4 linked regions of the Rhinolophus ferrumequinum genome follow. The protein of the gene in region 4 interacts with the protein of the main gene of each other region in a biochemical or structural test. Links are inferred from orthologs where the notes say so. Each region holds a gene or a part of one and is shown on either strand. Other genes may lie near its edges. The genes, in order: DMD, SLC6A3, ADRB1 and SNTA1.

The links.
Region 1: the proteins of SNTA1 (region 4) and DMD form a complex in vitro, tested with the Homo sapiens proteins (2 studies listed by BioGRID, with this or other methods). The link is inferred for Rhinolophus ferrumequinum from reciprocal best matches to the Homo sapiens genes SNTA1 and DMD.
Region 2: the proteins of SNTA1 (region 4) and SLC6A3 interact in a test that uses a peptide from one of them, tested with the Homo sapiens proteins (2 studies listed by BioGRID and IntAct). The link is inferred for Rhinolophus ferrumequinum from reciprocal best matches to the Homo sapiens genes SNTA1 and SLC6A3.
Region 3: the proteins of SNTA1 (region 4) and ADRB1 interact in a test that uses a peptide from one of them, tested with the Homo sapiens proteins (2 studies listed by BioGRID and IntAct). The link is inferred for Rhinolophus ferrumequinum from reciprocal best matches to the Homo sapiens genes SNTA1 and ADRB1.

The regions. Positions count from the first base shown.
Region 1 is NC_046284.1:99,556,650-99,564,332, forward strand, and holds the start of DMD (dystrophin), read left to right. Parts: upstream 1-4,669; 5' UTR 4,670-4,871; coding exon 4,872-4,902; intron 4,903-7,683. UniProt on the Homo sapiens protein: Anchors the extracellular matrix to the cytoskeleton via F-actin. Ligand for dystroglycan.
Region 2 is NC_046290.1:831,305-838,674, forward strand, and holds the start of SLC6A3 (sodium-dependent dopamine transporter), read right to left. Parts: upstream 3,007-7,370; 5' UTR 2,919-3,006; intron 2,889-2,918; exon of another isoform or gene 2,485-2,888; intron 2,348-2,484; exon of another isoform or gene 1,063-2,347; 5' UTR 1,011-1,062; coding exon 725-1,010; intron 1-724. UniProt on the Homo sapiens protein: Mediates sodium- and chloride-dependent transport of dopamine. Also mediates sodium- and chloride-dependent transport of norepinephrine (also known as noradrenaline). Regulator of light-dependent retinal hyaloid vessel regression, downstream of OPN5 signaling.
Region 3 is NC_046299.1:13,973,286-13,981,125, forward strand, and holds the start of ADRB1 (beta-1 adrenergic receptor), read right to left. Parts: upstream 3,006-7,840; 5' UTR 2,705-3,005; coding exon 1,307-2,704; 3' UTR 1-1,306. UniProt on the Homo sapiens protein: Beta-adrenergic receptors mediate the catecholamine-induced activation of adenylate cyclase through the action of G proteins. This receptor binds epinephrine and norepinephrine with approximately equal affinity.
Region 4 is NC_046306.1:21,487,589-21,494,701, reverse strand, and holds the start of SNTA1 (alpha-1-syntrophin), read right to left. Parts: upstream 3,011-7,113; 5' UTR 2,871-3,010; coding exon 2,561-2,870; intron 1-2,560. UniProt on the Homo sapiens protein: Adapter protein that binds to and probably organizes the subcellular localization of a variety of membrane proteins. May link various receptors to the actin cytoskeleton and the extracellular matrix via the dystrophin glycoprotein complex.

The sequences.
Region 1 (7,683 bases), on a different chromosome or scaffold from region 4:
TCTTCTATCAACAGACACCCAGGCTGCTTCGACATCTTGGCCATTGTACGCAATGCTGCAATGAACATATGGATACATATGTCTCCTCCAAATAGCCTTTGGCTTTCTTCAGATAAATACCCTGAAGTGGGTTTTCTGGGTCCTTCTTTGTCTCTTGGTATAACCTTTGTTTGAAAGTCTATTTTGTCTGATGTAAGCATGGCTTCGCCAGCTTTTTTTGTTTGTTTCCATTTTCATGAAACATCTCCTTTCATCTCTTTATTTTCCATTTGTGTGTGTGTCTTACAATATGAAGTGATTCTTTTGTAAGCAGCATATGTAAGGGTTTGGGGTTTTTTTATCCATTCAGTTCTCCTGTGCCATTTGATTGGAGCATTTAATCCATTTACATTGAAAGTAATTGTTGATAGATATGTAGCTATTGCTATTTTATTATTCATAATTTTGATCTTTTTTTCCCATCTTAAAGGAGTTCCTCTAACATTCCTTGTAATACTGGTTTGGTGATGATGAACTCTTTTTGCCTTTTCTTGTCTGGGAAGCTCTTTATTCTTTGATTTTAAATAATGACCTTGGTTGGTAGTCTTCGTGGTTGTAGATCCTTCCTTTTCATCATTTTGAATATTTCCTGCCAGTCCCTTCTGGCCTGCAAAGTTTCCGTTGACAAATCAGCTGACAGTCTTATGGGAGCTCCTTTATAAGTTACTCTTAGGTTGGTGCAAAAGTGATTGCGGTTTTTACAATTATTGCTAACCTTTTAAACCACAATTACTTTTGCACCAACCTAATAGTTGCCTTTCCCCTGCTGCTTTTAAATTTCTCTTTGTCTTTAAACTTTGCCATTTTAATTATAATGTGTCTTGGTGTGGGCCTGTTTGGGTTCATCTTGTTTGGGACTCTCTGCACTTTCTGGGCTTGTATGTCTATTTCCTTCACCAAATTAGGAAAGTTTTCAGTTATTTCTTCAAATGGGTTCTAAATCCCTTGCTTTCTCTCTTCTTGTGGTACCTCTATGATGCGAATGTTGTTACACTTGATGTTGTCCCAGAGGTGTCTTAAACTGTCCTCATTTTCTTTTATTCTTATTTTTCTTTTGCTGTTCTGATTGGGTGTTTTCTGCAGCCATTTCTTCCAAATTGCTGATTTGATCCTCTGCTTCATCTATTCTGCTAGTGATTTCTTCTAGTGCATTCTTCTTTACAGTTATTGTGTTCTTCACTTGTGACTGGTTCCTTTTTATGGTTTATATGTCCTTTTTAGGCTTGCTATCTCTTTGTTGAAATTCTCACTAAATTTCTTGAGCATTCTTATTACCAGTGTTTTGAACTCTATCCGGTAGGTTGCTTGCAGCCATTTCATTTTGTTCTTTTTCTGGAGTTTTCTCCTGTTCTTACATTTGGGACATATTTCTTTGATTCCTCATTTTCACTGCCTTTCTGTTTTTCTTTCTATGTATTAGGTAGTGCTGCTATGTCTCCCAGTCTTGGCTGGGTGACCTTATGTAATAGGGGTCCTTGGGGCCTCGTGGCACAGTCTCCCCGGTCACCTGCTCCAGGTGCTCCAGCAGTGTCCCTGTGTGGGTTGCGTGTGCCCTCCTGTTATAATTGAGCCTTGATTGCTGTTGGCATATCTTGGTGGGTATTGACCCTCAGGCTGACTGGCTGGGAGGTTTGGCCACATCCACAGCTTATGGGCTGCTGTGTGGTGGAACCTACCATATGGAGAGGGATTTGCCCCAGCAGGTTTTGGTGCCTGTTGAGACCGCCCTTTGGGTGTGCCACTTGTGGGGCTAATTGGGTGGTACTCTGCTGTGGTCTGAAGCCAACTTCCAAGTATGTTGGTTCTGAAGCCTCTTGGGAGGGGCTCTGGTGCAGGCCCAGGGAAGCCACTGTCTGTGACTGGCTGGGAACTACCTGGTAGGAGCTACAAAGTGATCCATGATTGGTCACTACCTGTGTTGTACCGGGAGGTGCGTTGGAGAGGCCATGCTGCAAACTGAGGATGGCTGCCACCAGTGCAGGGTCTGCAGTAGCTCTACAAAAAGCCAGGAAATTCAGAGGCCTGCTGCCACCTGCCAACTCCCATAAGCTTTAGCTGCTGATAAAGCCTCCTGCAGTATACAAGTCAGGTGAGGCCAGGTCTCAATGAATCAACAGGGTGGAGCAGCAGAGCTCACTAGGCCAATCAGATTCAGATTAGGCCTGTGGAGGTGGACTCAGCACAGGAAAAATGGTGCCCTTCTGCTGGCTGCATTGGAGAAGGGCCCCACACAGGGAAAATGGGGACTGTTCCTCAGTCCTTGCCCCGAAGTTATACAACTTAGTCTCTACCCATGTCTCCAACGCCCCCATGGTTACCATCCCTCCACCAGAGCCCAGGGTGAGTGTCTGTGTGGGCTGTTAAAAGGACAGCTGGGTTTTCCACAGCCTTCCGTCCTATCCTGACAGTTGGAATCCCCACTGTTTTTCATAGCCAGAAGTTGTGGGGGCTCCTCTTGTTGGCACCAGTTTTCCGGCTAGGGAGCCTGGTGTGTGGGGCTGGGGTTCCTTACTCCTTCATGGGGAACCTCTTTGGCCAAGATATCTCTCTCAATTTTCAGCTACCACACATGGGTGTGGGACCAGCCCCTTTTGAGACTTCACCCCTCCGACCAATGTTGATGTGGCTTCTTCTTTATACCCTTGGTTATAAAACTTCTGTTCAGCTAGACTTTAGATGGTTGTCCAGGCTATTTTTTCTATAATTCAGTTGTAATTTTGATGTGTTCATGGGATGAGGCAAGCACAACATTTATCTACTCCACCATCTTGGATCTTCTTTGGTACTTTATATAATTAACCAAGACAGGTGTTTGGTATATTTGGAGCCACTGTTGGTTTGAAAAACGACAGGGTTTTTCAAAATTGGCCATGCATTAGGATCACCAGTAAAACACAGAGTGTACCAGGTCCTATTCGCAATTTCTTATTTTCCAGGTCTTGTGTACTTGCATTACTAAAAAGTTCCTATGTGATGCTTTGTGGATCACACTGTACAAATCACTGATAAAACTATACATATGCCTTAGCCTAAACATGAGTTTATATCTGTAGGAAACTCACAGTACAAGGTGTAAAGGAACTCGTACTCTGAGTGATATGATACCCATCGCATAGGGCATTGATGCTAACATGCAGACTTGGATCCATGTCAGTCCTAAAACATTTTTTTATGTTTTTATGAAATTGTTGCTTATATGCATATTTAGACAACCACGCTAAGGAGAGGAAAGGAGGAAAGCTATGGAGAAGAACATTTTAAATCCTTTTAATAATAGCACTTAAAATACAGTTACATAACATTAGGCCTTATATTTTCTTTCATATAGATTTTGTTAGGGAGGAATGGTAGTATTATGATAATGATATTCTAAAATATAAAATGTATAATTCACTATTAAGGTTAATATCATAGCTTGACTCAATATGTCAGTTTTTCTGTATGTTTGTCTATAATTTATTTATGTCCCAAGCAATTGAATGGTTGACATAAAAAAATGAGACTGTCACTTTAACAAATGGTACTATAAAAATACTCAGACAAATAATTTTAACAGAGATTATTTTAATTGCAAAAGGAATATCTTTCTAAAACATGCTACCAATGTTTCCTATAAATATTGGGCTTACCTGTTGCATTAAAAATAAAAATATGATAATTTTATTAACCAATGTCACCCAAATAAATTTAGTATAAATAAATTATAAAAATAAGAAAGAAGATAAAGAAGCCTTCTAGTGGCAAATAATTATTTACAAACATGTTGAATGATACATTACAATTGTGTTCATTTAATACAGAAAAAAGCATCTATTGCGAGCAATTAAAAAATTTGTCATTAACTCAGTGTCTAAGAGAATGTTGTTGTAATAATTGTCACCAAAGAAGTTGAAGAAACAGTAATTCGTTAGTTAAAAATGTTTTATCAAAAGCTACAATGGGAATTTCATGTTTGAGTAAGATTTCTTTGTTCCATTATTAGAGTGTTCTTTATTTTAGCAGGAACCTCATCCCGTGAGACCTATACACATTCTGCCTTCAGAGCTCAGCTGTTCAATTCTTCTGTTGTTTCTCTTACTCAGACTGTTGACATCATCAATACATGACTTTTGATTGGATCCCCAGAGTAGAAATTAAGTTTGGTAAACAGTGGATACATAAGGCGTGCATAGATTATTCTGGGCATTTCCTTTTGTTTAGTGGAGTGAAAATTTTAGTGTTGTTAAGAAGGTAAAATAAGGAAAAGCATTTAGAAGTCTATTCTGCATCAGGAGTTTTTGCTCTGTTATTTTAGAAATGTGCATAGAAGTTACAGAAAGTATTGTTACAGTTTTGCACTAAAGAGGTTCTATGTTAAGAAGGCTTTGAGAGCAAGTACTGTGTCCACTGTGCTATTCTGGTTTGGATATTAATCAGAACACAGTTGAACATTATTTGAATTCACAGGACTTGCCATGCTGGAAGCACAACCTTATATGTAGTGACCATGGGCAGTCCTATTATGGGAAACCAACTTGAGAGAAGAGGCGGGTCACTTGCTTCTGCGCAGGTCCTGGAATTTGAAATATCCAGGGGCCTCTACAGAATCCTGGCATCAGTTACTGTGTTGACTCACTCAGTGTTAGGATCACTCACTTTCCCCTTTCAGGACTCAGATCTTGGAGGCAATTAGCTTCAGAGAAAAACGGACTAGGAAAAACCAAAGTGTTATTTTTTAAAGGCTGCTGGAGTTGTTTGGTTTCTCATCATTCCTAAACCTACTGGAGCAATAAAGTTGGGAGAAATTTTACCAAGATTTTTATCGCTGCCTTGATACACATTTTATTTTCCAAATGCTTTGGTGGGAAGAAGTAGAGGACTGTTGTAAGTACAAAGTAAAAATATTTTTTACAGTGGCATAACTTTTAGTTTGTGACAAGCTCACTGATTAGACAGATTGATTTTAAATTATTATAATATTTTGTGAATAACCATAAATGTTACATATTCTGCGTACGTATATTTGTGCAGGTGTACATGTTTCTCATTGTGAAAACTTTTCAGTAGAAATGAGGTAGAGTTTAAACTTTTGTTCTTACAAATATAATCAAACACATCTTTCTTATTTAAGAAACCACTAAAGTAATAGAACATGCATCACTGGCCTGGAGTATTTGCAACAAACCATTTTAACTGCTGTGAAATCGTTTGTGAATCTGAGTTATTATCTTGATTATTTGATACTTCTGTATTTAGTAACGGTTATATGTTGGGGTAGTGACCTGGCAAATATTCTCAATGAACTAGTTGCTGTGTGGGCATGATTTGTGGAGATCTCAAGATTAGAAAAATTGTATCTGGCGTATCATGGGGAGAAATTTAAAAAATAAAATGAATGGTGATGGATAAATGGAGGTTGAGAAAAGTATTGATAAATATTTAATTTAAAAGTTCCTTTCTCATATTACATTTAGTGTTTTGAATGTTCTTTTCTGTAATAATGATATAATCTATGCCATCAAATGATCAGACACTTTTCTTGAGAAAACACCATAAAAACATGAGAGACTTCTAATTATATTTCACAGTAAAGTCACTGTGTTGTTTCATGTCTGTGATGACCTAGCTTTTCAGTAAAGCTTTTTAATTTGAATTTTATGTAAAGCACAACTATTTTGTTTATTTTAAGAAAGTTATGATGACTAATGAAAAATTTCAAAATTGACTGTGACACAACAATAAAAATAATATATGAGGAGCACAGTGTGTCCCAAAGAGGTGGATGAAGTAGACAATCTTTTTTTCCTGCCTTTGACTTCTGGGTTATAGTCATTCTGAAATAGCTATGAGGGCAATGCTTATAAGTAAGAATGAAAAACGTAAATCTCTCCAAATAAGTAAGTCTTCAAAACTTCTAGAAAAAGAGTCATAACAGAAGTTTTGCCTCTGAGAAAAATTTGTGGAAAAAAGTTTACATTGTACAATTGCTGGCTCACATTAGGTCTTTCCAGAGTTTATATGTAGTGAAACATTTCTATATAATACCCTTATTTTATAAATTTCTTGGAGAGCATCAAAATTGATTTCTAATTGAAAAACTATTCCATTTACTAATATTACAAAAATCCAGTAGCCTATATTCTTTGCAACACACATACATAATTGACTGATCAAGCAATCAGTATATTTACAAAATTAAAACCATAAACCAGTGTATAGAAAAACTGAGAAAGAATAGCAAAGATTCAATTCTGGAATGAAGCAAGGCAAACTTACTGTCTGTTTTGTCATAGATATTCAAATAACTTTTTAAACTCTTAACTAGAATTTGAAGATAGCTAACCTTTTTAGGACAAGCCCTGTACAACTTTATGATAGTACATTTTAAAACTATCAGGTAATGTTTATGCTACATGACAATGGGTTTGTGAAAAGAAAATGAAGATATTCACAAGGTTATATTATACATTAACTTTTACTAATTGACAACATGCTACTATTTGAGTGTATTGACATTTGTGTCTAGTTTTTAAAATTGCCTTAGTTTGAAAACATTGAGAGTACATTTGGTTGGTTTTTAACCAAAATAGTTACCAATTAATAGAGAGGATCATTGTATTAGACAAGAATTGTTCACGGTTAGAAATACTCAAGTATTGCCTTGCAAAGAATTATTCAAATAATTTATTGCAAATATACATTTCATTCAAATTTTTTAAATAATGCAAATTATCTTTAGGTCTAATAAAATCGTCTTTTAGAATTTCATCTGCAGAGTCTTTTAAGGACATCTTAACTATGAAAAAGAGCTTGCTGAAATAGAGAGTATAGCTTTTATTTTAATAAGAAGTTTTCTGTGTCTCTTACATGGCATAATATTATGGAATATACAGTGGAGAACATCATGTAGAGTTACTCTAAAACTTACAAAATAGACTACAAAGTGTTTTGTGTAAGTGTATGTTATTTAAGAAAAAAGTTGTTGGTTGACACTACTCCAGCTAGGCAGAACTGAAATATTTGTTCTTAATTTGGACAGAGATATTAGTATAGCTTCCTCTTGAGTCCTGAAGTATTCATTTGAAATCCTTGTAGTCCAAGTCATTTGCTACATATGAAACAAATTGTCAAGTTTCTTAACCACTTGTGTGGTTTAATAAAAGAGATTAAAATCTTCGTTGTCTTAGAAATACAAGGTGGGTTTTTTTTTTAAATTCTGTTTTATTATCTTTCATCATGGCTTTATCACAAGGATAAAGCAGTGATTTCCCAAACCTTCCTTCCCCTTCCACTTTCTCCTGTACTAGTTCCCTAACTTATTAAAAATGATTTATTATATTTTTCATTAAACTATTCTTCTATTGCAAATGCAAGAAACATGGTGTTTTGGTGTGAGTATAAATGTTTAAAGAAACATACGTACACCTGTAATCACAGAGTTAATCACTTAAGAGAAACATTGAAAATTAATTGGAAATTAACTTTTCTTTAAATGTCATGTTTTGTTCATTGACTTATTTTCTATTTTAAACGCACGTCATTTATAAGAAATTTACAAATAAGACTAATGTACGTCCTCTGTCCAATGAAACATAAGTGTAGAGCCTCAAGGCTTAAGTGTTCAAAGTTTCATGGGAAGTCACCTCTGTATGAAGAAATGTGTTG
Region 2 (7,370 bases), on a different chromosome or scaffold from region 4:
ATGGGGGGCAGGGAGATCCCACAGCTCTGCCTGTCCTTGGGCCACTCACTGTACCTGCTGAGGCATCAGTCTGCTCCCCTTGAGCTGGGCACAGTAATGCCAGCCTCCTCCTGGGAGTGTCAGGAACCCCCGCCTCCCCCCAAGATCGTCATCCAAGGCCCTCCATCTGTGCTGTGACCGGTGAAGCAGGGAGGCAGCAGGCGGGGGCGGCAGCAGGGGGGTGGGCATGATCTCCAACTAACTGGCTTCTCAACTTGAGTTTTGAGGTGACCCTGCCCCTGTATCTTAGTTTTCTGCCTTGAGTCCAGAGACAGTTGTGGTTGAGTTCAAGGGGGGACGGGTACATTTCCAGGGCATCTTCTGCTACTCAAGCTCAAGCGACTCCGCCCACTTTGTAAGCACCCTTCTGTGGGCCTTTGAGAATTTCCTTTCCAAAGTGAAATCCCCTTTGGAAACAGAAGGCCGAGCCATGGAGCCTCTGACCGCTAACTCCTGCTTTCTGCTCTCCTGGCCTCACCATCCTCAGCCGTGAAGTCCAGACATAGTGGTTGCTCTGAACTCCACCTCTATGGTTTTGTGACACCATCTGTGGTCTGTGCCCTGCTAATGTTAAGTGAGAAAACAGGGTGATCTTGCCAGAGTGCACGCATTCCTCAAGGGCACTGTCTCCACTGCCTGGGGTTCTAGCCCACAGGAACGCCCAGGACAGCAGGTGGAGACTCACCCCCACCATTTTTGTAGCACAGGTAAGGAAACCGCCAGACATTGGCCAGGTCCACTGCGAAGCCGATCACCGAGAGGAGGAAGTCTATCTTCTTGCTCCACGTCTCCCGGTCCTGGGTCTCCACGGGGCTCTGTGGGGTGCTGGTGAGGGTGGAGTTTGTGAGCTGCATCCCATTCTGCTCCTTGACCAGCACAACCTCCACCGCCCTTGGGCACGTAGCGTTGGGCTCCTTAGCTGGGGCCACCGTGGAAGACATCAGCGCTACTGGGCACCGGCTCCTACTCATGGCACACTGCAGTCTAGGGTTCTGTGCTTCTTCCTTCTTGGTCTCCAGCCAGCTTGAAAGATAAACACAGAGGAATGCACGAGTTTGTAGCCAGAATGCTGGTAGCAAGAGCACAGGTCCCAGCACTTACAATCTCTTCTGTGGGGCAGAGCAAACACATTCCGAGAAGCTATGATGACAGGGTAGGGCTGGGGGCGACAGGAGATGAGCTAGCTCTCCTGAGGTCCTGAGGAGACAAGCTGTGGAAACCTCAGCATGGACATCTGCTTTGCCCCCGTCCCCCACTCCTTTCTCCATTCCTATCAAAGTGCAGGGCTCCTGTGGTCTGGAATTCTGCTTTTAACAATAATGAAGCAGGGAGTAATCTCAGTCTCCAACCCACATTAGACACCAAGCCTGTACAAGAGCGCTCAGCTAGTCTTTAAACCAACATCAGCCACAGGAAGGAACGTTTAAAGATAACGATTACAACAGTTTCTTGGAAGAGTGCCTGCAGATGCACGCCCACCAGGGGCCAGAGCTCACCAGCCCCACCTGGAGGAGGGGGGCAGGGGCGAGAGCATCATGCGGATTTAGGGGAGGGGCCACGAGCTCCTGGACTCGGCAGTGTTATCAGGGAGCTCACTTCCAAGTCACTTCCATAATCCTGGGCAGTGCCACCAGGGACCACAGAAGCTGTTCCGGTCACAGCCAACAGAAAGCTGGGCCCTGGTGGCCATGAGCAGCTTCAAATGCGACTTGTTATGGCCTTTGGATCCACCAGCATGGTTTCACCTGTTCACACACGTGTGGGTGCATACATGCTAGAACACACACATGCTAGCATACGCACGCACTCATATGCAGTGGCTGAAGCAGAAGCATAATGGGGTGGCAGCTGTAAAGGGAATTCTCCACTGTATCCAAGTTTGAACAAAAACTCACAATGTGAGTTATTTTATGCACCTTCTCTGTGGCCCCTTTACCTCTGTTACAAACCCAACAGCACATTCCTGCTGTGTATGAAGACCTCCCCCAGGGGGCTGCACGGGATGCAGAGCAGGTGGGACTGGCCTGCGGGGGTGCAGCTGGAGCGGCTGGGGCTGCAGGCACGGCGGATTCCGGCCTTTGCTCTGATAAGGCCCACGCAGGCTGATCGGATCCTCGCCTGCCAGGGACGCCCACGCCCAGCATTTGGGGTGAGCCAGGTCACTCCTGGAGCTGCGGCCTCAGAGGCCAGGTTTGGGTACAGAAAACAAACTGTGGCCTCTTAGAAAGCGTCTTTCGTCACAGCACCCCCAAAGAGAAACGCAGCTGGCTCAGACGCTGTCCTCCCCTTGGCCGTTCCTGCAATCAGCCTGGAAGCACAGAACCCGCAACTCAGCGCCCCCAGCTCCACCTTCAAAATCAAAGACAAAACGCTGCGAGATGGAGCGTTGATTGAGAAAATCCCCCGGATCGGATCTGGGGACTGCTGTGCCCAGGCCCGCCTCACCTTGCGCGGCGACTGGTCCAACACGGAAGATTCCGCCACAAACAGCTGCGCACCCCCGGGTGCCCGCGCCGCGGGAAGCCGGGGACGGCCGCCCCTTCCAGATATAGTGGTTTGGAAGACACTATGACACAGACGTCGCCAGGAACCCAGCGCGCATCAGCCCCGCACCCCCTCTCGTGCACATATCTCTCGGCGGCTGACCACCTTACGGTCTCCAGCACTGTCCGCCGGGGCGCGCTGTGCACGCACCCCCGGCTGTTAGCGACTTGTGGAAACGCTGCCGTCTGCGGGACGCGGCGCCTGCCGACGGTGCTCCGCCCAACCTGGCGACCCTCGGCTGCAGCTTTCGGGGTCCACAGAGTGAACCGTGAGCCCGGAGGATAACGCGGGGGGCGTCTATGCGAGGAGTCACCCACGGAGTGCCCCGGCCTTACCTGTGCGCCCCGAGTTGCCTCTGAGCTGGTGTCCCTCAGCTCAGCACCCGCGAAAGCTCAGGCTCCTGCCGCTGTGCGCTGGGCGGTCTCGACCTCCGGCTCTTATCGTGTCTCCGAGGCCCGCCCCGCCCCGCCCGCCGTCGGGGGCGCCCGCCCGCCTGGCTCCGCCTCCGCACCGCCCCAGGTGGGCGGGGGACGAGCCCCGGCCGCGCCCTGCACCCGCCCCTGGGATCTGGATAGCCGGCGGGAGCCGGCGGCCTTCGGAGCGCTCTGCCACAGGTCCTGCGTGTCCGGAAACCTCCGACAGACGGGTGCGGGGCCGCCTTTGGGTGCCAGATGTGGCAGGACCGAGACGGGCTGTTTCCCAGCGGGCCCAGTCTAGGGCTCCCTCCCATCCTCGCCCGCACCCCCAGCCCTGCCCCGCGCATCTACGTCTGCTTCGGGGGCTCCCACGACCCACCCAGAACTCCGTCTCAGCGCGGCGGGGGAGGAGGAGACGGCCCTCGGGAGGGAGCCGGCCACAGCTGAAAAGTCGCCTGGCGGAGCCGAGCCACGCCTGTGCCCGCCCCTCGCTGCTGCGCGACCCCCACCCTGATGCTACACCGACCCTTCTCCCCAGCCGCCCGGCCCCACCGACTCCCCAGCGGCCGCCCAGGTCCGGCGTCCTGGGGACCTCTCCCCCAACGATTCACGCGCGGAGCTGGGGCGGCCGGCGGGGAGCGGATCCCAGGTCGCGCGAGTGGTGTCCTGTCTGAGTCCTCAGCCCCGCCGCGGCAACTCCTGCCCGGCCCCGAAGTATTGACGTCGCCGGGGTCTGGCTGTGGAGACACGGGCGGGTCGTTTTGTGGCTGGCAGTGTCCAGGCAACGTCGCCATGCTTTGCCCACATCTGGCGCAGCAATTGGCATCAGGTGGCTGGAATCACGCTGGCATCAGAAAATGATTTTCCCCAACGGCTTGGTGGTGGGTACCTGCTCCAGGACCAAACCCACTCAGAATCCTCTGAGTGGGCACGTGGAGTAGAGCACCACGTGGAGGAGTGGATCTCCAGGCCATCAAGTGAGACCCAGGACCTCAGGCATCAAGGTGAGTGGTCTCTTCTGGCATCGCCAGGCTGGGTGCCCCCCCCCCCCATTACCTGGCATGTGTCCTTTGATTTGCCATTGTACACTCACTGCCGTGGGGCATCCACACGAGTCTCCAGGCTCTCCACCCTGTCTGGATGTAGCTGCTCAGCAGGGTCATGGAAGCAGTGTCCCTTTGTCACACCCTGTCACCTCCTTAGTACCATTTCCCCCACTAGCTCCTGCCTCCACCTGGAGACCAGAGTCACTGCCTTCCCCATAGCCTCCTGATGGGGAGCCGGTGCCCAGGACAGGGCTGGTACCCAGCCAGAGCACAAAGGAACTGTCTGCCAGGCTCATTGGCATCAAGCAGAAAGAACCTGTGCCTGGTGTATCAGTCCTTTCCAGCTGCTGTAATGAAAAGGCCACAGACAGGGCAGCTTTTATAACAACGGACATTTCTTTGTCACGGTTCTGGGGGCTGGAAGTGGAAGATCAAGGCAGGGGCAGAATCTCTGTCTGGAGGCTTCCGGTTCACCAATGTCTTCTCTCTGCCGTGTCCTCACGTGGCAGAGTGCAGGGCTCTGTGGGGCCTCTTGTATAAGGGAACTAGTTCCATCCCCAGGGTGCCACCTTCATGACCCAACCACCTCCCAAAGGCCCTGCCTTCTACCACCATTGCATTGGGGGTTCGGATTCAACATGTGAGTTTGGAGGGACACAATGCAGGCCACAGCACTCGGGGACGGGACAGGATTTCAGGAGTGACCCTCACACAGGGCTGTCTCTCCCCACATATACCCAACAGCGTAGGTTTCAAGAAACAGGAAGAGTACAGTGGTAATCAACAGGCTCGAGGGGCGGCCAGATGGCTCCGTGGTTAGAGCACGAGCTCAGAACAACAGGGTTGCCGGTTCAATTCCCACATGGGCCAGTGAGCTGCACCCTCCACAACTAGATTGAAGACAACAAGCTGTCACTGAGCTTCCAGAGGGGTGGCCGGATGGCTCAGTTGGTTAGAGCGCAAGCTCAGAACAACACGGTCGCCGGTTCAATTCCCATGTGAGATGGTGGGCTGCACCCTCTGCAACTAAAGATTGAAAACGGCGACTGGACTTGGAGCTGAGCTGCGCCCTCCACAACTTGATTGAAGGACAATGACTTGGAGCTGATGGGCCCTGGAGAAACACACTGTTCCCCAATATTCCCCCAAAATAAAAAAAAAAAACCCACAAAAACAAAAAACAAAAATAGGCTCAAGGACACAAATGGACACCAAGAAAATGATTTTCTTTTAAATGGGAGCACATGGTAGAACCCGTGAGTTCAGATATATATTAAACACACACACACACACACACACACACACACACACACACACACCTGAATAAGAAACATTGGGAAGAAATGCGAGCCTTATAGGGGATAACTGTGACACCAGCCAACAAAGTGCAAGGAAAGGAGCAGCGGTGACAATAGCACACGGGGCTGTGGCGGGGTGGTGGTGGGGGCAGACAGCGTCCTCTGTGTGGGTAACACAGACTAAGTGCATGGCTCCCCAGTGCGTGGCTGCAAGAGGTACAATGGGGTGACCACCCTCTCTCACCTACACGTAGGCCAACCAAGAGAACAGCCCAGCACCCAGGAGCCCTCCACCCCGGCCATGCCCTCACATGTAACCACATGAGAGGATAGCTGGCAACAACCGTTGGGAGCTCTTAGTGAAGAACAACTGGGGACACGGTGGTGGTGGCGGCAGTGGCAGCATGCTGGCCCACAGGACAGAAGCCAGAACCATGCTCTTGTGCTCTCCATTTTCCTAGACAGGGCCGCTGCCCTCTGGACCTGTGCAGGTGGAAGTGGTGCAGTTAAGAGCTGATTAACCCTGATTAAAGTCCGCCCTTTGCCTGCTTGGAACTGTGCCCTAAGTTCAGAATCCAAGCAGGGGCGAAAGGCAGGCAGAGCACGGCACGTCCTGCCAACTGTTGGGGCTGTGCATGGCTCACCATTCCCTGTGGACCAGCTGCAGTGGCACAGCACATGGGAGGGGCTCTGAGAGGCTAGGTTTTAAGATGACTGGTTTGCTTGGCCCGCCATGACCAAGTGCCCAGGCTGGGCTTAAACACAGAACTATCCTCTCTGGGTTTGGAGCCAGCAGTCCAAGTTCAAGGTGTGGGCAGGTTTGCTTCTTCGGCTGTGAGGGAGCACGTGCTCCGGCCTCTCTCAGCTTCTGCCGTGGGCTGGCTGTTTGTGGTGCTGCTGGGCTTGTAGAAGAATCACCATCTCTGCCTTCACGCTCACAAGGTGTTCTGCACATGTGTGCATGTCCAAACGTCCCGGTCCTAGTGGACCAGGGCCAACCCTATGCTCTCATTTTAACTTGATCACCTCTGTAAAGACCTGATCTCCTTCTGGGGTCCCAGGACTTAGAACTTCAACACGTGGATTTGGGGGCACAATTCACCCTATGACAAAGAGGGACCTTAACAGGCCTGCTCCCAAGAGCGCTGCTCAGAACATGGCAGGGCCTTAAAGCCGTGCCACCGGACACGCTGCTCAGGCTGTTGGTCCGTCTGTATCGCAGAGACCTGCGGGGGCAGCAGGGTGCAGGGAAGGACAGAGGATGCTGCGGTGTGGACCATCTAAGGCACTGCTCGTGGCCAGTGGGGCTCAGCTGGCCGCCCTTTGTTAAGTCAGCTGCTGAGGAAGCTCCCTTTGCTTTAGACGTAAGGGGACCATCGGAGCCATAGCATTTGTACCCTCGCTGGGCACTGAGCTGAGGCCACCCTCGCGCCTCTTGACCCTATGTCATCTCCTGTGGCTTCAGTTATCTCCTGCAGGAATGACAGGGCTCCCACGTGCTGGGGCAGCAAGTTCATGCGTCACACAACCTTTGCCAGTTGTTCTAGCCTCTGTCCTCTCACTTTGCTGCTGACCACCCTCACACTGTGTGTAAAGGACTGAAAAGACCATCTACCTCAGGCAGTGAACCTTATGGGCAGCATGTGATTCCTGAAATGGGAAGCCCAGCCTGCAGGTTGGCAGCCCCTTGGAGGGAGGGAGTGAGCTGGTGCAGCTCTGACTGGGTGTACCTCTCTAAAGAAAAAACACCAGCAGACCAGGAACACGCTGGTGCTGCTCCCTGAGTGAGAAGTCAGGTGCTATCGTCAAGCCGCAGGCTCAGTGGGGTCCTGCCCTCGGTGACCCTGCTACGTCCCCGTGCGTCTTATGTTACTATGGCCATCCCAGTGGATGGCTGAGCTCTACAACACTCTCCATGGCACTCAGCTGGACCCCGGGAACTGTGTCTCCCAAATGCCCTGGCCGCCAGGGCTCAGGTCAGGGCTGCCACGGCAGCACCTGCTGAGTCTGAGGGGAGAAGGCCCAGT
Region 3 (7,840 bases), on a different chromosome or scaffold from region 4:
TGGACCAGTTCCTCACACAGTAGTTAGTTGCACCAGAGTATAAATACTTGGTAAAACACACAGAGGAAAATAGAATTTACACACAGGTGCTAAATTTTACCAGCAGATTCACGTGGGCACTTGGACATAAAAAAATAATTAAAAAATCCTTAAGATAATTATATTTATAATATGGATACAATTACAGTACCATGATAAAAGAGTATAAAAAGGTATTTTTCCAATAAGTCATTAGCTAAATAACATAATAGACAACAGAAGTAGAGTTTCAATTTTATTTTAGTTTTTACGATCTCCCCCGCCCACGTTTAAAAATATTTAATTTCTTCTTGTGCAAGTAACATCTTCTGTGGACTTTACAATTCCTAACACTGTGCAAAAATGGCATTTTTAACCACTCCTTTTTTTGTTTTGTTTTGTGTTTTGTTTTTACCCACGTTTAGTAATCTGAACTGTTTCCTCTTTTGTTTTCTTTTTCTGTTCTGTCTTCAATGGACAGTCACATGTCACAGAGGCTCAGTGCCTGGTCCTTCCAACTCATATTGATACATAAATAGCTGTTTAATATAAACAAGTCTTTCTATTTTGCTGTGCAATGTGCACAGTGTGAGGTAGAAACCCCTCAGCCTGACGACCGAGGCGCACGGGGACAGCAGGCTTATCCTACAAAAGGAAAGCAAGGTGAGGCTTGTTCCAAGAATAGCTTACAATTTCTTCTAACGTGGATTTCGCACACACCCTTTCCCTTTGCTTTAGGAACAGGAGAAATCATAACTCAGGAGTTAAAATGAAATTTCTCTGGAAAGCAAAAGGAAACATGTCCCGACAAATTGTCATTCCCCCTCTCGCTCCGGTTGACCGCTCCTGTTCCCGGGAAGTCAAGTCGATAGACTTTTACCCCGTCATGCTTCTCCCTTGCCCTACCCAGTCCTCGTAGAACGTGTCAAAAACACCTGGGGAAAAACAAAAACAAAAACAAAAACAAAAACAAAACAAAACCTAAAGATGCATCATACGCACACACAAAAGAAGATCGAACCTCAAACAGGAAAAAGAACACAAGAAAAATCAGCAAGCCACTCTCTCACCCCTCCCCAAACTTTCCTTTCTGTGCAACGATCCGTGGCTTTTCTGTTTGTCTTGGATGATTCAGATGAGGTTTGTGGGCTCCGAGTTCACCTGCTTTCGATCTTGAGTAAACACATATCTCTTTCCCCTGGGAAGCCATTCAGGGACGCCTAGGCTTTCTTCCTCTAGGCGCGCAGAGCCCGCGTCCCGGCTGGGAGGTGTGGAGGGGTGCCCGGTCCTACACCTTGGATTCCGAGGCGCAGCCGGGGCGGCTCGGTTCGTCCAGGCTCGAGTCGCTGTCCGCCGCCGCCCCGCCGTTGCAGCCGGCCCAGGGCTCCAGCAGACGCGCGGGCGGCGTGGCCCCGACGTCGTCTTCGTCGTCGTCGTCCGAGGCGGCCCCGGGCGACAGCGGCGGCCCGGCCACCGCCAGGCAGCCGGAGGCGCGCGGCCGGTCGCCGGTGGCCGCGTGGCTCCCGCGGGCGGCCCGGCGCCCACAGCAGAGCAGGCGCTGGAAGGCCTTGCGGAAGTCGGGGCTGCGGCAGTAAATGATGGGGTTGAAGGCCGAGTTGGCATAGCCCAGCCAGTTGAAGAAGACGAAGAGGTGGTCGGGCACCAGGTCGCGGTGGAAGGCTTTCACCACGTTGGCCAGGAAGAAGGGCAGCCAGCAGAGCGTGAACACGCCCATGATGATGCCCAGGGTCTTGAGCGCCTTCTGCTCTCGCAGGGCCACGAGGCGCGAGGGTCGCCGCTTGCTGGTGCGCCCGTTGGCCAGCGGGGTGGCGGCGGGGCACGGGGGCCCCGGCGAGGGCGCGGGCGAGGCCGGCCGTGCCGGGCCGCTGAGGAAGCGGCGCTCGCAGCTGTCGATCTTCTTCACCTGCTTCTGGGCCTCTCGGAACACCCGCAGGTACACGAAAGCCATGATGCACAGGGGCACGTAGAAGGAGACGACAGACGAGGCGATGGCGTAGGCCCGGTTAGTGACGAAATCGCAGCACTTGGGGTCGTTGTAGCAGCGACGGGCCTCCTCGCCCTCAGCCCGCCACCAGTGCATGAGGATGGGCAGGAAGGACACCAGGGCCGAGATGGCCCACACGGTGCACACGAGGGCCCGCGCCCGCGTGCGGGTCAACAAGCTCTGGTAGCGGAAGGGCGAAGTGATGGCGAGGTAGCGGTCCAGGGCAATGACACACAGGGTCTCGATGCTGGCCGTCACACACAGCACGTCCACCGAGGTCCAGAGCTCGCAGAAGAAGGAGCCGTACTCCCAGCGGCCCCACACCACGATGGTGGCCCCGAACGGCACAACCAGCAGCCCCATGACCAGGTCGGCGCTGGCCAGGGACATGATGAAGAGGTTGGTGAGCGTCTGCAGCCGCGGAGTCTTGGCGATGGCCACGATCACCAGCACGTTGCCCGCCACAATGAGCAGAACGATGAGCGCCATCAGCAGGCCCATGCCGGCGGTCCACTGCTGCGACAGCTGCACAGGTCCCTCGCTGGCCGGGGTCAGCAGCGACGCGGGCGGCGACGCGGGCACCAGTAGTCTCGCTGCGGTGGCCGCGCCGTCGGGGAGCGGCGCGGCGGATGACAGGTTGCAGGGCTCGGAGGCGCCCAGGACGAGCGCCCCCGCGCCCATGCCGAGCTGCGGAGGCCGGGGGCGGGGTGTGTGGCGGGGTTGGGCCGTCTTTGGGGAACACCCCAGAGGTTGGGGCGTCCGGGCGCGCGGAGGAAGGTCGCGGCCAGGTCAGGGCAGCCGCTGCGCAGAGCCGGAGGCATGGGCGCCGGGCGCCTTCCCTGCGGGAGCCAAGCTCTGTCGCCGCCGCCGCCGCCGCCGCTGCTGCTGGAGCCGCTGCCGCTGCTGGAACAGCCGCCGAGACCACAGCATGTTTCTGAGCGCGCTGAGCCCGCAGCTCAGGCACCCAGCATCCACCCCACCCCGCTCCTACTCCCGCAAGCCAACCCCTCGGACTTCGCGTCAGGCTCCTGCAGCCAATCCCGACAAAGGCACGCCCCTAGTTGGTTCCCCCCCACCCCCCCGCCCCAACGCCCCGCACCCCTTCCCACCCGCAGTTCAGCGGCTCTGGGGAGTCCGGGACGATTCGAGCAGTGAGCTCCTGCCCGGCGCCCGCCGGTGCCTGTGCGCGCGCCCCTTCCCGCTCCTGCTGGTTCCTGCGCCCTGTTCCCCCAAGCTCCGTGCTGCGGCCAGCTCCCACCCGCGTCCCTGCCCCTCTCCTAAGGCCCCCACTCTCTCCTGCGCTGCGCTCCCTTCTTCGCCCCTTCTGCCTCCTGCGTTCGGCTCCCTCCTGCGCCCCCGTCCCCTGGCATCCCCTCTACGTCCAGTGCCCAGTTTTCCTGCGGAGCGGAGCGAGTTCTCCCTTTTGCGGGGAGGGAAGCTCGGTGTTCTCCCAGCCCCAGGACACCTTTGACAGCCTGTCCGATGGGTTTGGAGGAGATTGTTTCTCGGATCGGGCAGCCTAGCAGAGTGTGTGTAAAACCCTTTCCTGGTCAAGGAGGGGACCCAGCCAGACTGCGTCCTGCCAGCTCAGGGGATCGGAAGCGGGTGTTAGTGGTTAGAGGAAACTTTGCAGCAGAGCGCCTTGCTAGAAGAGCAAACGACGCATCCCTCAGGAACGCTCTCTGGGCGCTATTCTTGCAAGGAGCTTCTGTTGTACCAGTGCAGTAGATGCAGAAAGGAAGCTAAGGTCTGTGCATCTGACAGCTAGTGCTGAGGACCAGTTGGACACTCCCCAGTCTCAACTAATGCATAATGTGAGTATAATGCAACAATGAGTGTGGATGCTATAAAGAGAGAGAGGCTTAAGGAAACACAAATGTTTAGACATAAGAGAAAATGACACTGCGGTGAAGAAAGAACACATTTAATTACATTTCAGACTTTTCCCATTCAGTAATAACACCTGCATTTTGTGTTTTATTACTGACATGATTTTATAATTCGAGCTGGGTCACTACAAACAGAAAAGTACTGTTAGTTATGGTTGATGTAATGAACTGAGATTTCAGATTTGTTGGTGGGCTTGGTTTTCTCCTTTGTCCAAGTTCCCAGAGTCTCAGAACTCTAGGATTAATTTTGGAGGGATGAGAGAAGAAAATATGTAAATACTCAAGAGGATTAAAATCAGATAGCAGTTAAAATTATATCAGTGGTTTCTGAGTTGGCAAATGAATCAGTTTGAAATTAGTGAGTTGTGTGCCTAGCTGTCTGTGGATTGTGTGTGGGGACAAACAGACAGGATAGCCACCAGGAGCACACAATGCAGCAGGACTGCAAGCCCCCTCTCAAATTAAGGTCCTCAGCTCAACCTTGAAAATAAAAAGCCTTTAATTGAATCCTTCAGAAGTAGACAGCTTCCAATTACCCATATACGGGTGCATGAAAATGTTATGTAATGCTCACGCATCTTTCTAGCTTTTGGACCAAACTCGTTCTTACCTTGCAGAGAGATTGACTTCCACACCAACCCATGTCTAGAGCTAAAAGCAATGCTTATTCAGTTTATAAAGTCAAGCAGTTTTAACCACCTTCTCTTATGTGAATCTCAACATATAAATTTGTTTTAGGCCCAGAGTTGTAATCAGAGTGTTGGGGGGATGGTGATTTATTTGCTCATTCATCCCTGCCCTAGGACTTGTCAGCCTATTTCTGCCAAACTGGAGAGGTTGAGGAAGGGGGAGCAAGGAAAGAAGAGGGTCTAGAAAGAGGGAGGAACAGGAACTATACCCTGAGTTAAGTATAATCTCTGGAGAGTCTTAGTTACCCAAGTTACTGCACTCCTGTCTCCCCCTCTGGCTTCTTTCTGTACCCCCTGAACCCCACACCCACCCGCAAGAGGTAGTCTCAAAATAGCCAAGGGATTGGAAAGAGTTGAATTTGACACTTCCCAGGAAAGGGGTTCTGAGTGCTGCTGGGCTCGGGGGTGAAGTGTAGGGAATGTGGAGAGGAGGCTTTCTATCAGAGCCATCTTTCTGTCAAGTGGTGTTATTGGAATAGTGTGCCAAGCTCAAGTGCCCCTGAAAGATGAAGGGATTGCATTCTGTCAGCAATAAGACCAGAACTTGGTTGTAGAGGTTCAGTGCAGAAGCCCAGATGCCAATACCTTTACTGTGTCTATAAATATGTACGTATTTGTATACATTATGTATCCATACATGTATTTGTATACATAGTATGTATAAACACACCATGTATGGAGAATTGTTGAAAAACTCTCCTGAAACTTACCCCCCTGCTCATTCAAGCTTGTCTGAATTTCTGGATAAAAAAATTCATTAAATCATAAATCTTCAAAACCAGAAAGTTATTTTAATAGGAGTTCCACTAGAGGGCTGCAGGGGATCCCAGGGACTTTCCTTCAGTGGTATTGATGGAAAAGTTTGGAATAGTCCAGGTTCAACTAGAGTTAGCTTTCTTTGAAAATGAAATGTTCTCAGATCTCCTTTAATTCCTACATTTTGTGGCACTCTTTTTCTTCTTCCTTCTTTCCTTCTCCTTGTCCTTCTCCTTGTCCTTCTCCTTCTCCTTCTCCTTCTCCTTCTTCTTCTTCTTTGGACATTTTTGAGCTAACACTTTTTGTACTTAGATAAGGATACAAGATCAAGAAGAAAAGGTCCGATATATCCATTTATACAGGTATTACATGTTGCAAGTTCAAAATGAATAATTTCTCCATTCCCACTCACAACTGTTCAAATGAATCACTTCTCAGGAACCCGTGGATTTGACAGGATTTTAGAAAATGACAGAAAGCTCCAACAATCAATGCTAACCAGCACACCTGAGAGCTAGTGGCCTTCTTCCTCAATATTCCCTGTCGCACCTCTACCTTTCCCATCCCACTACCATCATTTCACACCTGAACTTGCTATGCATTCTCTTTGATCTCTTTGATCTCTAATCCTCCCTGCTCCATTTAATTTGGAATGCCATACCAAATTAGTATTTCTAAAACACTTCTTTGACCAAGATGTTTTTCTGTTGAAAAACCTTAACTCCTCAGCTTGGCATTCAGAGATTTCCACCGTCCAGTTCCGAATAGCCTTATAGCCTTCCCAGTACTACCTTGGACTAGAACTCTCCATGTCACTCTAACCTGAACTTCTGAATTTTTTTTCTCTCTTTTAGATCTAATCTCTCTCTCTCTCTCTCTCTCTCTCTCTCTCTCTCTCTCTCTCTCTCTCTCGCATTTGTACTCTCCCTGGGTTGCTTCCATCAAGAATCCCTTCTTCCTCCATCTCTGTCTCAGTGGATTCAGTCTTCAAGATCTATCTTTTTTATTTTACAGTTATTTCTGCCCACCTGCTTCTGGAAGTGATTTCTCCTTCCTCTACCTACAGTGATTACTCTGATAATTGCATTTCATGTGTCAACAATATTTTGCCTTTTCACATCTGTCATATTTTTATTTAATTTTTATAGGTTTCTCTCCCTTTTTCTTATATGGATTGTAAGATCACTGAGAGCCAGGATTATCCTGTACATTTTTATATCTCCCATGATGTAACATTTGCTTAATATTAATTAACATGGAGCTTTGATTCATAAATATGTAATGTCTAATTTATTGAAATATTCTTATATTTACTAATGTGAGAAATTATTGAGTGGTTTTAGAGTTATAATCTTACATCATGCTTAGAATTTACAGTAATAATTTATGTCCCTATAGCCTAGTCACTATTTTCACATAAGCATTTAAAAATACTTTACAATTACAAGGTAGGCTCATGAGATAAATTTATACCTACTTGGTAATGAATAAAATGGGACATAAGAGGTTTTCCAAAGGGGCCATGCAGGTCCACAGCCATAAAAAGCACTACTTAATCTTCATAAATATTCAAGGTAAATGACCTTTTTTTTAAGCTTTATGATACTATATATGCAGGCATTTTGCCCTTGGAGAATAGCTCATGACTTGAACCTGGTTTCAAGTTTTAGATTAAATCAAAGATCCACACAGCAGTAGTTAATAGGTATCCAACCCACCTATGGTTGTAAGCCATGAGCTTGGTGAAGACATTTCCCCTCGTGAGTTGACTTACCTTGAAAATGAGGTAAAAGTAAAAGGGATAATCTAACTAGACAACTGCTGGAAGGTGGGCCAGTGGAAATGGGGAAATTTTCAAATAAAGCCCCAATAAATGTATCAAATCAATAAATGTTAAGTAAGCAAGATTGCCTCAAGGCTGATAATCAGTGGTGGGATTTGTTAATCAGAGCTCAAATGGCTACTTCTGAGTAAAGATAGACAACTTTTCATATCAAGCAATACAACTGCTGAAACAGTCACCCAGAACTAAGTAACAAAAGAACAGCCTGTACCCGTGGCTGGTACTTAAGGTCATATAATGGTTTTGCAGTCACAGTTTACACAGGGAGAAGCAACTCCATCCATTATGATAAGAACAAGCACAGAGGACAGTGGTATAATCATAGACAAGTGTGGACTATTTGGAAACTTCCTCCATCTTTGCCTCCTCCTCCTGTTCCTGGTATGTCTAACAAGTACATTGAACAGTGCTAGAGCCAATAATAATATTTTTCAAAATGTGGATGTGTTGGAAAGTGTTCAGACCTGGGAGGCAGAAGATCAAGGTTTGTGTCCTGGCCTTGTCACTTTTCCCTGTGACCTTCAGCAGTGGCTTCCTCTGTAGAATGCACTCGCCACTCGCTCCCTCCCAGGGTTGTGCTCAAATTAAATGAGGTAATGTATGTGAAAGCTTCTTGAAATCTCATATAGAACCATATATT
Region 4 (7,113 bases):
AGCTTTTTCTTAAATATTTTGGACTTGAAGCAATTTTGCCATAGTGGGGATACCTCCCTAATCCGGCATTACAATAAAAGTCAGCTCTTGATATGGCTCCAAGGGATCTCATTAGCAATCAGAAAATTTTATAATCCAGGATCCAGGCTGGAAACCAAGCCTTAAAAGTCTAGAGATTTCAAAAGCCTGCCTGAATTTCATCTCTGATGCATAAAAATCTAATACATTTTACCCAATTGCTTTATTGCTAAACTCTTGAATAACCTTTTAAAATAAGAAATAGTAATAACAGTTCACATTAGTTCCATGTACCAAGTGCCAAGCAATGTGTTAAATGTTGTCAGTGGTGTCTCATCGCATCTTCACAACACCCCAATCACACAGGCAGGCTCAGTTTCCCATCAGGAAAATTGAAGTATGGATAGAAGCCCCTTGTCCAAGGTCATCCAGCTATTTAAGTGGCAAAGCCAGTATGTATGTGAACTGAGGTTTCCTGGCTTCAGAACCAGTACTCTTCACCCTATGGAAGACGGCAAGTTGGACCCTCAGATATCACACTACTTGTCCATTCCCAAAATATTAAAGATGAAGTACTACTGGCCCAGAAAAAGTAGATCATTATTTCAAGGTCACATAACAAATTGGTGGCAGAGGTAGGACTGGAAAGAAACCTCTTGTGACCCCCACACAGGACCAACAATTTGCTTCTTGCACTGCAGAGCTTACGGACTAGGAAAGGAAGGGATTTCTATTTATATCTGCCTTGTTCTGCCTGAAACTGGGGACTTTAGTGCATTCCTAGCTGCCTGGACTGGGCTGGACCCTAGAGGGGGAGGTCATCATGGTAACAAGAGCCTGGTTTCCATACATGAAGAATTGAATGGAGCTGGTACCTCCCTTGACGCCTCCTAAAAGTACCTTCACCCCCACCTGGAAGTATGGAGCTAGGGTATAACTTTATATGACCTTGGAAAGTCTCTGCTCCTCTCCAAGTCTCAGTTTGTCCATCTGCAAAATGGAGCTCTGTATGAACTCTAAGTTCCTTCCTGCTTTGACACATTGAGTGTACAATTTCCAGATTTGATCTGTTGCCCTATCCTACGCTGGAGTTTTGGGGCAAGACTGGTGCCCACTCCCTGGCTTACCCATTTCCCTCTTTTAGATCCCTTTCGTTGGCTGCATGGAGATTTGCCCTTCCACGGGGAAGAATTGACTTCCCTAGGCACTCTCCAGTGGCCTGATAATTGAGGTTCAAATCCCAGCTCTGCCATTCACTAACTGTGTGATCCTTGGAAAATCATTTTTTTTCTGAGTCTCAGTACGTTCAGCTGTAAAACAAGGTTTATGTTCCCTACCTTTTACCACTTGTTGCCAGGATAAAGTGAATCGTGAGCCCAGAGTACTGAGCATAACACATGGCACACAGTGGTAGCCAAGTCATCACTATCCCCACCCCCTCGCCCAAGTCAAAGGGTCTGGAGGTACCAAAAACAGAACCAGCACCAGGAAGAGAGAACAGTGCATATCCAGGAAGATACAAGGGCTGACACCCCCTCCCAAGGCAGATAGCACTCGGCTGGGGGCTGAGACACTGAGAGAAGTAAATGGGTAGGAATGGTGAACTCAACAGCCGTTGGGGGGAATGGGGGCAGAGATTTTAAGCAATATGGTTAGTTGCTTTCCTGGCCTCCATTTTCCCTCTCATCTAACAGCAATAATTAACTAGGCACTTACTATGTGATGGCAGGGTGAGTACTTTAGACTCCTGTTCTCATAAAAACATCACAACTCTATCATTAGCTTCACAATATAGTAGTTAAGAAATCTGAGGTCCAGTGATGGGAAATGACTTGTCTACATTCACACAGTTGATCCTGGACTCAAGCACAGTCTGGTTGCACCCTAAAAAAAGCTGTCAATATTGGGGGCTGAGAGCTCTCAAAAAGGAGTAACAACTCTATGTCCACCCCTCTCAATCCTGGGCAAGGTGGTCAGTAAACTGAAACGCGGCTCTGCCTAAGTACACAGCTTTCCTGAGTCCTCAGATTTCTAGATCCTTTCTGGACCCCTGTACATGAGCACAGCAGACGCCTCATCTCCAATCCCTCCCTGCGCTTTGAACTCCAGGCCCTATCCCCTACCTTGGTCGTCTCAGAGACTTCCCCCTCCTTGCCCTAGTGGCGCCCCAGGCCTCAATCGCCTTTCGCCACCCTTTGCTTTCCTGGGGTTCCCCTTTTCCTTGATGCCCACGCAGCCCCTCTCAGATCTCTATGCCTCTACACAGAACTCCCTACCCACGTGTCCTTGGTGCGCCCCTCAAACCCTTCCACACCTGTGCCTTTCGACGGAGACCTCCGACTCTCGAACCCATCTCCGACCTTGGTGCTCCGGGTGCCCTCGGTTCCCTCTGTCCCCTTAAACCACCTTTCCCCCAGACAGAAGTCCTCCAATTCTGTGTCCTTGGTATGCTGCCAGACGCCGCGAGCCCTGGTCCCTCGGAGGCCCACAGACACCAAGACACCAAGACCCTATGCCCTCAGTGCCTCCTCGCTCACCTCACCTTTGATACTGATGCCCAGCCCGCCGGCGTCGGCCTTGCGCACAGTCACACGGCGCCGCTGGAGCAGCAGCGTCTCCGGCAGCTGCGGGGGCGCGGTGCCTGATTCCGCGGAGCCGTTGAGCTGCGCGGGCTCCGGGTCCCGCTGGGCGCCGGGCTCCGGGCCGGCATCGCCGTCGGCGGGGCTCACGGTCAGCGCGTCCTCCGCCAGACTGAGCAGCACCCTCTGCCACCGCTCGCCGCCGGCCCCGGAGTTCGCCGCGGTGCGCAGTTCCAGCAGCCCGGTGCGCGGGGCGCGCCTGCCTGACGCCATCTTCGCCTTGGAGCCCCCGGGCCGCCGCGTTCGCCCTGCTCCGCAGTGTCTGGCCCGCTTCGAGCCAGCACCCAGGGCAGAGGGCGCAGGGGGCCCGGCTGGGACAGCCGCCACCCTACCCCGGGCGACTGGGGGGGTGGAGCCTCGAGGGGCGGGGCTATCTAGGAGGTGTGGCCGAAGGCAAGATAGCGGGACTCTGGGGCGGAGTCCAGGAGCCGAAAGATGTGTAGTGCGGGACTACTTTGCGGGTGGGACCATACCGGCGTCCGGGCCAGGCCGCTAAGTAAGGATAGGGATCAGTGAGGTGCGGGAGCTGGCGGGGAGAGGAGGGGCGAGGGCAGAGGCCTTAGTGCCTGGGGCAGAGCCCTAGCATCCAATCGTGGAGACTGCTGAGCAAGGCCGTCGAGGGCCTGGACCGTAACTCACGCTTTTAGGAGCATAAGAAAAAGAGACATGGATCTTGGTGCAAGGCTTTGAACCTCGGGGCGGGGCTACGTATAGAGGACCACTGGACTCCAAGGACAGGCCTTGAGTTTAAGTCAATAACCAGAGATGAATCCAAGTGTCCAACAAGAGGGAAATGGTTCTATACTACTAAAATCCCCCTGAGGCCACCTACATAACATATATGTATTATATGTGCACATGCACATATAATACATAGATGCCTTTTATTCAGTCTGCTGTATGTTGACACATGAACTGGCTGGTTTACATACATTGTCATTTAAATCTCACATAAATCCTGCATAGCCTGTATATTGTCCCCATTTTATAGATGAGGAAATTGAGGCACACCACTAGTAAGAAGAGACCTCTAGTTTAACCTTGGTTTGTCTGGCTTCCAAGCCCATATCCCTCCTGCTTCTCCTTTCTGCAGGCCACATAGCAGCAAAAGCTGAGTTTACAATCCATTCATTCATTCAACAATATTTATTGAACAACTTCTATGTGCCAGACACAGTGCTGGATGTAGGGATTCAGTTGTAAACAAGATAGTTAGTATCTTGCCTCATAGAACATACAGTCCACTGAGAGGCAGGATCCCTTGGTGGTTAAGAGCATGGGCTTTGGTTTCTGATTTTCTGTATTCAAATTCTCACTGTGCCACTTTCTATCTATGTGGTTCTGGGTGACTTATTTAACCCCTAACGTTCCATTTCATAATCTATAAAATGAGAATACTATATTAAAATTACTATCCCCAAGATTATTATGAGAAATAAATAATACTGGCTAACTGCTTAGCCTAATTCCTGCACATAGTAAGCATTAAAAAAATATGAGTTGTGAGAGACAACAAAGATGGTGCAATATAAACGCTGTGCTTACCTTCTCTCACAACCACATCAAAATTACAACTAATCTACAAAACTACCATTATTGAGAATCACCTAAAATCAAGCTGAACTGAAGGCTTTCAACTAAAGATGTGCAGAAGAAGCCACCTCCAGATGGGTAGGAAGGGCAGAGATGTGGAATGGGCTGGTCCCACATCCGTGTGTGACCATTAAAGATCAGGGGGGTTATTTCAGCTGTGGGGGTCCCCCCAGCCCCCAGAGGAGCAAGAGGTCCCAGCCCCACCCCAGCCCAGGGTTCCAGTGCTGGGGAGAGAAGTCCCCATAATTTTTGGTTGTGAAAACCAGCGGAGATTGTGACTGAGTGAGATGGAGAGCGGCTGCACTCTCAGGTGCTCCTCTTAAACGGACCATGTACAGACTTACCCACTAATGAATCACTCCTTCTGAGCTCCAGTGCTAGGGCAGCAGCTGGAGAGGTCTCAGGGACATTTGGTGGGGAACTGAGTTGTCTGGCTTGGGAGAGGGGCTAGAGAGGCAGTTTTCTCCTGCACGGGGGAACTGGTGGAGACCGTTGTGTCTTTGCTGAGCCCTCCCCCTTCCCCGAGTGCAGATGCAGGCGGCCACCATATCTGAGTCTGCTGTTGTTTGCCACTCACGGGCAATTCGAGACCCAACCCTGCCCAACTTTTGGGCACACCCAGGCTGCTTCCAGTGGCTTTTTTGTGTAGACCACCTGTCTTGGCTCAAGCTGCAGACTTTCCTAGGGTCTCTCAAAGGACCATGGAACCCAGACAAGAAGCATCTGGCTTGAGCGTATCCTGTACCTCTGGCTGAGCAGCCCTAAGTGCGGCACTAGCGGCAGCTGGCCTTGGATTGTGGCTTGGCTTCTCAAGGCGCTTCCAAGCACAGCATGGGTAGCAGCCATCTGTGGATTTCTTTGTGGCTCCTGCCAGGTGGCCCTGGGTGGGGCACAGGCTTTGGCTGAACTTGACCTACAGCAGATCCCCTCCAAAATGGCCCTGGGTCTGGTGCCCCCAGTGGGCAGCTTCAAAACAAGCTGGGGCATTACCCATCCGCCTCTGAGTATGACACACCCAAGTGCCGGATTTGGTAGGCACCAGAGTCCTGCTGAGGCAGATCCTGCTCCATAGGATCAGCCCCTACACAACAACTCTTCCACTGTAGTCAAGGCCAGTCCTCACAACCAGTGAGCCCAAGGGTCAGTCCCTCCCATTGATACACAATTATCAACCAAGACTCAACTACAAGAGGAGGGCACACACAACCCACACAAGGGACACACCTGGAGTGCACGGCTCAGGTGACCAGAAAGACTGCGCCACTGAACCCCACAGCACACCTACTACATAAGGCCACTCTACTAAGACTGGAAGACATAGCAGCCCTACCTAATACTTAGAAATAAACACAGGGAGGCAGCCAAAATGGGGAGGGAAAAAAAAAAAACATGTCCCAAATAAAAGAACAGAACAAAGCTCCAGGAAAAGAACTAAGTGAAACAGAGATAAGCAATCTATCAGATGCAGAATTCCAAACACTGGTTATAAGAATGCTCAATGATCTCAGGAAGAACTTCAACAGAAAAATAGGAAGCATAAAAATACAGATGGAAACCATGAAAAAGAACCAGTCAGAAATAAAGGATGCAATAATGGTAATGAAGAGTATATTACGGGGAACCAACAGTAGCTTAGATGAAGCAGAGGATCCAACCAGTCATGTAGAAGATGAGATAGTAGAGAACACCCAACCAAAACAGCAAAAAGAAAAAAGAATCCAAAAAATTGAGGAGAGTTTAAGGGGACTCCGGGACAGTATCAAGCATACCAACATTCATATTATAGGGGTACCAGAAGGAGAAGACAGAGAGCAAGGAATTGAAAACCTATTTGAAAAAATAATGACAGAAAACTTCCCTAACCTGGTGAAGGAAATAGACGTATGAGCCCAGACAGCACAGAGAGTCCCAAAGATAAACCCAAAGAGGCCAACACCAAGACACATCATAATTAAAATGCCAAAAGATAAAGACAAAGAGAGAATCTTAAAAGCAGCAAGAAAAAAGCAGTTAGTTACATACAAGGGAGCCCCCATAAGACTGGCAGCTGATTTCTCAACAGAAACTTTGCAGGCAAAAAGGGAATGGCAGGAAATATTCCAAGTGATGAAAAGCAAGGACCTACAACCAAAATTACTCTACCCAGCAAAGTTATCATTTAGAATTGAAGGACAAATAAGGAGCTTCCCAGACAAGAAAAAGCTGAAGGAGCTCATCACCACCAAACCAGTATTACAAGGAATCTTAGAGGGACTTCTTTAAGATGGGAGTGGGGGTTAAGGACGGGTGAAAGGGGAAGGGATTAAGAAGTACAAATTGGTTGTTACACAGTAGTCATGGGGATGTAGGGTATAGCATAAAGAATATAGTCAATAATATTGTAATAACAGGTATGGTGCCAGATAGGTACTAGATCTATGAGGGTGATAGAAGGGAATAGGGTTGGGGGCAGGGTGAAAAAGGTGAAGGTATTAAGAAATACAAATTTGTAGTTAATACAGTATGGGGAATATAATCAACAATGTTGTAAAAATCATGTAAGATGTCAGATGGGCATTGGACTTATCAGGGGATCATTTCATAGACTGTGTCCAATGTGCTGTACACCTGAAGCTGAAGTAGAATAATATTGAATGTCAACTATAACTAAATATATAGGTATATATATATATAGTCACGGGATGTAGAATACAACATAGGGAAGATAGTCAATGGTATTGAACAGCTATATAAGATGTCAGAGGGGTCGTACCTTGGGGGAGGGACATCACTTTATGAGAGGTTTAAATGTCTAACTATTATGTTGCTTTGTACACCTGAAACTAATTTAAAAAATCAAAAGAAAAAAATGTGAGTTGTGCTT